2 linked regions of the Oryctolagus cuniculus genome follow. The protein of the gene in region 2 interacts with the protein of the main gene of each other region in a biochemical or structural test. Links are inferred from orthologs where the notes say so. Each region holds a gene or a part of one and is shown on either strand. Other genes may lie near its edges.

The links. The genes of interacting proteins can lie anywhere in the genome.
Region 1: of the proteins of SIK2 (region 2) and CRTC2, one has a biochemical effect on the other in vitro, tested with the Homo sapiens proteins (2 studies listed by BioGRID). The link is inferred for Oryctolagus cuniculus from reciprocal best matches to the Homo sapiens genes SIK2 and CRTC2.

The regions. Positions count from the first base shown.
Region 1 is NC_091438.1:44,411,574-44,415,563, forward strand, and holds the start of CRTC2 (CREB-regulated transcription coactivator 2), read left to right. Parts: upstream 1-1,190; 5' UTR 1,191-1,438; coding exon 1,439-1,591; intron 1,592-1,621; exon of another isoform or gene 1,622-1,870; intron 1,871-2,408; exon of another isoform or gene 2,409-2,490; intron 2,491-3,990. UniProt on the Homo sapiens protein: Transcriptional coactivator for CREB1 which activates transcription through both consensus and variant cAMP response element (CRE) sites.
Region 2 is NC_091432.1:103,539,607-103,543,703, forward strand, and holds the start of SIK2 (serine/threonine-protein kinase SIK2), read left to right. Parts: upstream 1-1,297; 5' UTR 1,298-1,314; coding exon 1,315-1,660; intron 1,661-4,097. UniProt on the Homo sapiens protein: Serine/threonine-protein kinase that plays a role in many biological processes such as fatty acid oxidation, autophagy, immune response or glucose metabolism.

The sequences.
Region 1 (3,990 bases), on a different chromosome or scaffold from region 2:
CTTTGGGATATCTCGTTCAATGAAATGAGAAGGCAGTGGGGCAAAGGCTGGCCCAAGAAGCGAGACAGTTAAGTCACTAGAGAGATGATCAGAGGACACTGACTGGTCAGGGACTATGGATAGGGACAGACTGACACTAGGAAAGCCAGAGGTAGGCACCCCGCTGCTATGGGGTAAGCAGATGGGGAGGACATGGACCCAGAGTCAGTGCCCTGTTGGTTTTAGCCCATTTCAACTTCAGCACCTGCCACTTGAAGTGGGCCCCTCATACTTCCCTAATCTTGTACTCAAATAAGTTTCCCTCTTCCCTTCTCCCAGGGGATTAGTGCCAAATGGTCTCTCCTTACCAGTTTTGGTACCTTCTAGGGCATCTCCAGTTCTGCCCACTCCTCTATTTCTAAAGTGCCAAATAGCTTCCCTCCCTCTTTCTCAAAGCACAGTGATGTGGCAGTGAGCCCTGACCAGCGCCTCCGTGGAGGGGTTCTGCTTTCTTTTGGTCCCAGATCCTTGGGGGAGGTAGAGGGCAGAAATGTTTGCTGGGCTGTGGGTCAGGGGACTGTTGGAGAGCTGGGGCCACCTACCACTGCTGCACCTTAGGAATATGGAACATGGACATGGTGCCCCAGGCACAAATGATAAACACTGAGCTACCAATTTTTTTTTTTTTTAATATATATATATATACCGGAGGAGCCCAAGTGGGTAGGCAGATTCCTACCTACCAGGGTTATTTTTGGGGAGGGAGGACTATGCATAGGGCTGTATTCTCTAGAATCTATTTTACTAACTGACCTGTTTTGGGATATGTTACCCAAATAAAAAATGTTTATACATCTGTGCTGTATTCGATTCGTTTGTCTTGGGAAAGGGATTAGTGTGTGGCTGCTTGAGAGGACCTGCGTCCCAGATGTTTACAGGTGTTTAAGATACTTGCTCTCAGTGTTTTCACTCTGGCCCCAATAGTCCCCTTCCCTGAAGATGACCAGGTTTTTTCTCCTTTGTCTCTTACTTGGCCCCTCCCTGTCTCCACCCCTTCCATTCCCTTCTTTTCCTTTCCTTTCTCTTCCCTTTCCTCTCCTTAATCCTGTGCTCCGGACTAATTGAGAACTACGTTTCCCAGCTTGCTCCGCGCAGGGAGTAGCCAAGTGGGTGGAGCAAGGTCCCCAATTCCCGGAGTCGACAAGGCTACTGGGAAATGGTGTCCGTTTCCTCTCCGTGCTGCGTAACTGGGGGGGTGTGAAGGAGTCACGTAAACAAACTACAATTCCCGGCGGGCCCTGCGCGCAGCAGGTCAGGACTAGGCTGGGGCCGGGTTCGCGGTGCTAGCTGAGGCGGCGGCGGCGGCGGCGGCGGCTACGGCTGGAGGAGCCGGGCCGGAGCCCGCGGCAAAGGCCGCGGCTTGTACTGGGAAGGTGGCGGGGAGGGACGGGAGAGGAAGATGGCGACGTCAGGAGCGAACGGGCCCGGCTCGGCCACCACCTCGGCTTCCAATCCGCGCAAGTTTAGTGAGAAGATTGCGCTGCAGAAGCAGCGTCAGGCCGAGGAGACGGCGGCCTTCGAGGAGGTGATGATGGACATCGGCTCCACCCGGGTGAGGGGCCGCGCTGGGGAGCGGGAGCGGAGTGGAGTAGTTCCCGAGCGGAGGTCGGAGAGGCGGGGCGGAGGCGGGAGCCGTAGCCGAGGAGGTGGCACGGGCAGCGGGCGCCGCCGTCTGGGAAGCGTGAGGTTGAGGGCCGACGGGCAGGAAGACGGATTTTGCGGGAAGAGTCGGAAACACTGGAGAGGTTGGGGGAGTGGGATTGCGAGGGGGCCAGTACGTGAGGCAGGAGTGGGCGGAGAGTGGTCGCCCGAAATCTGGCGGAAGGAGGAGGTGAGTGGTCCTTGTGCATCCCTGACGGAGTTCCCTAGGGGACTCTTCCGAGGCATCTCGGGAGGATGGTCGGCTTGCTAATCTGGCTCCTTTGAGTTTGTAATCCCCACGGACTCCTCTCCTGCCCTGCTGTGCCACTCTTGGCGCTTTGGTACCTCCAGGAAAAGGCCCCTTGAGTGGTGTGAACGCGCACTGCTGGGTACGGTGGGGCAGGAAGTCCCCTCCTGCGTCCCGTCCCTTTGCTTCCTTTTTCAAATACTTCTTGTGGTTTCCTGATGTGAAGGAAGGTGAGGTCCATCGCTCACAGACTGCTGCCTGGTGTTCTGGCCTTGGAGGAGACTAGAGCTTTGAATCCCAGAAACAGGTTGCGTGGAGCCGGATGACTTGCTGAGCCTCCTAGGGCAGTGGCTGACTGTAGGTCAGCTTATGGGGTACCTTGGAGGGTCCTCCATGTGCAGGGGCTATTCGTTCCTTAGGCGTTCCAGAAAACTTTGCCAGGCTGCCACTGAAGCCCCCGCCTTGATTTCTTGCTTCCCAGGGCTGGACGTCTGAAGAAGCAAGGGTTGGGGATTTGTCCTACTGGCATGCAGTCCTAATTTAGGGACATATCAAAACAGCAGGTGAGGAGAGTGCAGGGGTCCTTCATTGCAGAGAGCTGGAAGGAATTTAATGGGAGATGGTGGAGCATAAATAACACACTTCAAGGCTTTTTCTGTGATTACATCAGCCTATGACTGTGACTTTGATTGTATTTTTGTGTGTGTTTCCCTTGGGTGTGTTTGGGTTTTTGTGTGTTTTTTCCTCTTTGTGTCTCTTGGGACCATGTGCCCTAGTTTGTGGGAGTCAGAACAGAGAAAGTTAGGTGGCGAAGCAGAGTGTATGTGTGTGCATGCACAAGCATAACCCATCCTCACTACCATGAGGATTGTGGTCTAACTGTTGGCTGCTCCCCGTTAAGAGATTTGATCATAGTGGGGACAGACACAAGATGGGAGACAGGCTGGTCTCTGGTTGACAGTTCAGGCCCTGCCCTCTGGACTGGGATTCCAGCAGAGGCCGGGTAGGATCCTAGGGCTTATGTGTGCAAACAGAGAAAAGCTGTGAGAAACCCAAAGCACAGGCTTCTGTCTTTGTGGTGCCTCAGTCTATCAAAAGACCCCCTCTGCCCTCCATGCCTCTGCCACACGGAAAAGTCTAGTGGACACACATAGCCAAGGCCTGGGGACCCCAGATTCTAGAGTGAGAAATAAGAGACCTGGAGCTCAGCTTGTTATCTGGCCAGCTGCGAGAGCCCACTTGAGACAGATATGGCCATGGGGTCCTGTGTTGCTGACAGGCTGGCATTGCTGTATCTATCAAAAGTGGTCTTGGAGTGACCCCGAGGTCAGCATTTCTGACATCCTGGAACAGAAGGGCATTTCTTGTGTTGGCTTATATACAGCAGTGCAACCCCGGAAGCTCTTAGAATTTACTTCTCCATAGCCCTGGGTCTTTTTATTTGGCTGGTGGCAGTGGCCGAGACTTGGCAGTGGATACTCAGCTCTCACAGGGGCATATGAGATCTCTAGGCAGACTACACTCATGCCAGGCCGAGGGTTGAGGGACCTCACCCCTGTATCAGATGTATCTCCCCAAAGCAGAGATGAGGCCGGGGAGATGACGAGTCTTGGCTGGAGTGGTCTGTTGCTCCTTCTCCGACTTCCTTTCGCCAGGTTTCCCTGCCAAGTCAGGATCTTAGGAGTCAGTGGAAGTGTGCCTTTTGGTTTTGGCACTGTTTTCTGGCTAGGAGGGCCATCATCCCTTGGCTAGTCCAGTTCTGGAGGTACAAGCTGTGTAGCCTTCCTGAGGCTGGGCAAGTGACTGAGCCCAGGAGCCCGTGCTCTCCGGAGTGGGAAGGAAAGAGGCTGGCAGTAATGACTCTGATATCCACCTGTGGCCTCGCTCTTCTCTTCCAATTAGTCCTGAACGCATCTGGAGAGGAAAGCAGAGGTGCATAATAGACACCCCTCCCTGTGATTAGCCTGGAGCTCCTGACAGCCCCTCAGGGACTCTGCTTATACTGACTCCAAGTGAGGCAGGCCCAGCACAGTGCCAGGCGCTGCCCGAGAGTAGCACAATCC
Region 2 (4,097 bases):
AAGCTTTCTCTTTTTCTTTCGATATATCCTCCTTGACATACAAGAAATCTCTGGCATAAGAGATTGAAATCTCTTGGAATACTTTCCTTGTCTCTGCCCTGGAATCAGCCATTTCACCAAGAGGCAGAGTTCCTCGTGGAGAATGGTATTCAGAAACAAGATCTGAGGGACAGCACTGTGGCACAGTGGGCTGAGCCACCATCTGCAATGCTGGCATCCCATATGGGCACCCGTTCCAATCTCACTGCTCCACTTCTGATCCAGCTCCCTGCTAATGCACCTGGGAAAGTAGCGACAAATGGCCCAAGTGCTTGGGCTGTTGCACCCACGTGGGGCACCCAGTGGAGTTCCAGGCTTCTGGTTTCTGTCTGGCGGTTGCCGCCACTTGGGGAGTGAACCAGTAGATGGAAGATTTCTGTCTCTCCCTCTCGCTCTGCCTTTCAAACAAGTAAAATAAATCTTTTATAAAAAGGAAAGAAAGAAAGAAACCACGATCCTGGGAGTAATCTGGGGAGTACATATTTCCGGATATTAAAATACCAACTGTCCCTATTTCTTCGAGGCATTCTGTAGTGATTTACAATCCTAACTCTATCATGACCTGTGTGATCCTGGCAGATCCCCTCATTGCTAGCAGCCTACCTCATCATCTGAAAAGAGATTGGATTAGTAAGTAATTTCTTAACCTTTTCAGGGTCGCCAACACGTTTGGGATTCTGAATGGAGCTATGGTCCCATTTCCCCAGAAACACGCTCACATAAAGCAAAATGTTGCCTACATTTCAGGCAGCTCCAAGTTCCGAAGCCAGTTTGAGGCTGCAAATCCCGGGACAGAGTGTTCTCTTAGGGTCTCTTCAACGCTGCTGCTGTGAGAACGACTCCACGGAGACACCCAACTGTGGAGGGATTTATATAGCAAAGGACACAAAGGAACCTGTGAGCAATGCATTGCTCAGCCACAGTTCTTTGCTGCTGCCAAATTGAGGACGCGCTGTACTCCGAGGCGAGAGGTTTTGGCGGGAAGGTCCCCAGGTGGGCGGAGAACGCCTGGGCGAGGAAGGAGCGCACAGGCCGGATTCGGGTCGCTGCACCCCTCCGCACCGCCCACCAGGGCTCGCTCTTGCCCTTCCGCTGGAAAGCCTAGCGACGGGGCGGGCCCGGCTTGGACCCCGCCCCCGGCAGCGCGAGGCGCTGGGGAGCCGGCGGGGCGCCAGAGCCCGGAAGGAACGCGCCGGCCAGGCCCCGCGCCCCTCCCCGCGCACCGTCCCTCCCACCCTCCCGCCCGGCGCCGACGTCGGCGGTGCTCCGGTCGCCATGGTGACCAATCGAGACCCGGTCCCGCCCCCGCCCTCCTCCCGGCCCCCTGACGTCGGTGCACGTCAGCGGCGGCGCGCGCCTGGCTGGGCCCTGTGGAGCGGGAGGGAAGGAGCGAAGGAGCGAGCTGAGCGGCGGTCGCCAAAGCCGAGCCTCGCTGCCCGCCCGCCCGCCCGCGCTCCAGTCGCCGTGTCTAGCAGCGGGGCCCAGCATGGTCATGGCGGATGGCCCGAGGCACTTGCAGCGCGGGCCGGTCCGGGTGGGGTTCTACGACATCGAGGGCACGCTGGGCAAGGGCAACTTCGCGGTGGTGAAGCTGGGGCGGCACCGGATCACCAAGACGGAGGTGCGGCCCGGGGTTCGGCGGGAGCGTCTGAGGCGAGGGTTCGGGAGAGGAACTGTTTACCGAAAAGGGTGGCTGCAGCGGTGGGGCCGGGGGGGGGGGGGCACGAGGCCGCGCCACTCGCTCAGGCGAGCGGGCCTGGGGCCGCGAGGACCCAGGAGGTGCAGGGTATCGGGGCCGGGCTCCCCCGGACTCCGGCGCCGTCCGAATGGCAGCCCGACCAGCTGGGGCTTCGCTTTCCCCCTCGCCGCCTCCGGTGGCCACTCGGAATTTCGCCTCGAGCCTCCCACCCGGGCCGTGACCTGGTCTGTGGCCTCCGCTCCGCAGCCCAAGTTCCGCGTCTTCCCTGCTTTCGGCGGGGGGTGGGGTGGGAGGGGAAGTCTCGGTGCTCCGGGACTGCGCCGTGAGAGACGGCGCCCGCTCGCAGACGGCACCGGCTGCGCTCGGGCTGCGCGGCCGGGAGGACCGCGCGCCCCCCTGACCCCGACGGCCCGGCCCTGCCCGGCGAGGAAGGGGCCGGGGGGCCGGGTGTAGGCACTGGCAGTCTCCTCTCGCTCCTCTCGCCCCGCAGTGTCTCTGGTGTTGAGTGTCTGGCGAGCTTGATCAGTTGCCTGAGGCATTTCCATCTAATGCTCCAGACAATAGAACTGGTTAAAATGGTCATCTGCGTTTGCACCGTTGGTGGGTTAGCCTCTCTCTGGCTCAGGGGGTGTCCCCTTGGCCAGTGGGCGTTCTGGCCGTGAATGCGCATTCCTGAAGCCACATCGGATTCTGTCCGCTCCCCGAGCCCTCGGCGGCTTGCTGACGGGCGCAGCCCGCATCCCCCTCCGGCGCACATTCGAATGCACCACACATAATTCCTCCCGAGTCTCTTTCTTACCTAACCCGCCCCCCTTCCTTCCACTGCCTGAAGCTCCTCTCCTGAGGTCTCTATTTTAAAGACGCGCACATCAAATATCTTAGGAAAACGGTCGAGAGACACCCATTCTTTGAAATAAAACCTGCCGGTTTGGATGTACTCTGTTCTCATTGTGGCAGCCACTGGGTCGTGATGCTTTTTCAGCCCGCCCCACACGACCATCTCATTTTTCGGTTTTTTCCCGGTATTAGTATGAATACACTGGAGTTTGAATGTGGAGTAAAGTAGAACTTTTTTTCCCCCCCAGAATGACTTATGTAAGGCGAAGGTTGTTTGAAAACTTGAGTGATTTTTGTGGCTGTTGCTGTGCTTGGAAATTTTGCCTAACGTCCATTGCTTTTTGGAGTCTGTGTCATTCTGTCATCTCCACGTTTTGCTTCCCCTGCTGATCCTGAAGCAACCTCCATTGGACCTATTTTTTTAGCGTGAGGACCAAGGTCACAGATTTTCCTCTTACAGATTTACAACTGTTGGCAGTTTAGGTTAAGTTTGGAATGATAGTGATAGTTTTACTGTAGTGACATTACCGAATCTTTCTGTAGCTTAATCCCATCCCAGCATTTTTAAAAATGAGGAAAGTGGCTCCATTCCTCTGAAGAGCGTGTCTAATGCCATGCTGTCCTCCCTTGCACGCCATAAAAAGAAGGCATTTTAGATGCACGTTTTTGCAGGAATCCTGACTTAATGGCTTTGTAAAACTCCAGTTGTGCCTCACAAAGGGGTTCTAGGGAACTTCTGATCCACGTTATTTTGTGAATTATAAACTCATCTGTTCCTTTTTTATTTTTTTGTCACAAGCTCCTATTGGTACTAACAGCAAGATTTAATAAAGTCAACTGTTATTTATCAGGTCAAATTTAGTTAGCATGCGGTATCTGTGGGTACTTAAGTGGAGCTGGTAGTGCCTGACACTTTCTCTTGAGATTGTCGGTTCCAATGGTGTCCTTTTTAAGCGTACATGTCTTAGAGAGCTAGGGGGCACTGTGGAGTAATAGAGTCGTTTAGTTATTGGTAGTGTGAGATCAATGCATTTATAATTGAAGACGGCAACCAGATGGTGCAAGAGCACTCAGATCCTAAATTGTCTGTGTAGTATGTAAAATGATTTAAGTTAAAAGTCACTGTTTTAGTCCATGGGACCTGTCTTGTGCATTTTATTATTATTATTATTTTTTGACAGGCAGAGTGGACAGTGAGAGAGAGGCAGAGAGAAAGGTCTTCCTTTGCCGTTGGTTCACCCTCCAATGGCCGCCGCAGCTGGTGCGCTTCAGCCAGTGCACCGCGCTGATCCGAAGCTAGGAGCCAGGTGCTTCTCCTGGTCTCCCTTGGGGTGGAGGGCCCAAGCACTTGGGCTATCCTCCACTGACCTCCCGGGCCACAGCAGAGAGCTGGCCTGGAAGAGGAGCAGCTGGGACAGAATCGTGTGTCCCGACTGTGACTAGAACCCGGTGTGCCGGCACCGCAGGCGGAGGATTAGCCTATTGAGCCGCGCGCGGCGCAGCCAGCTACATCTTGTGCATT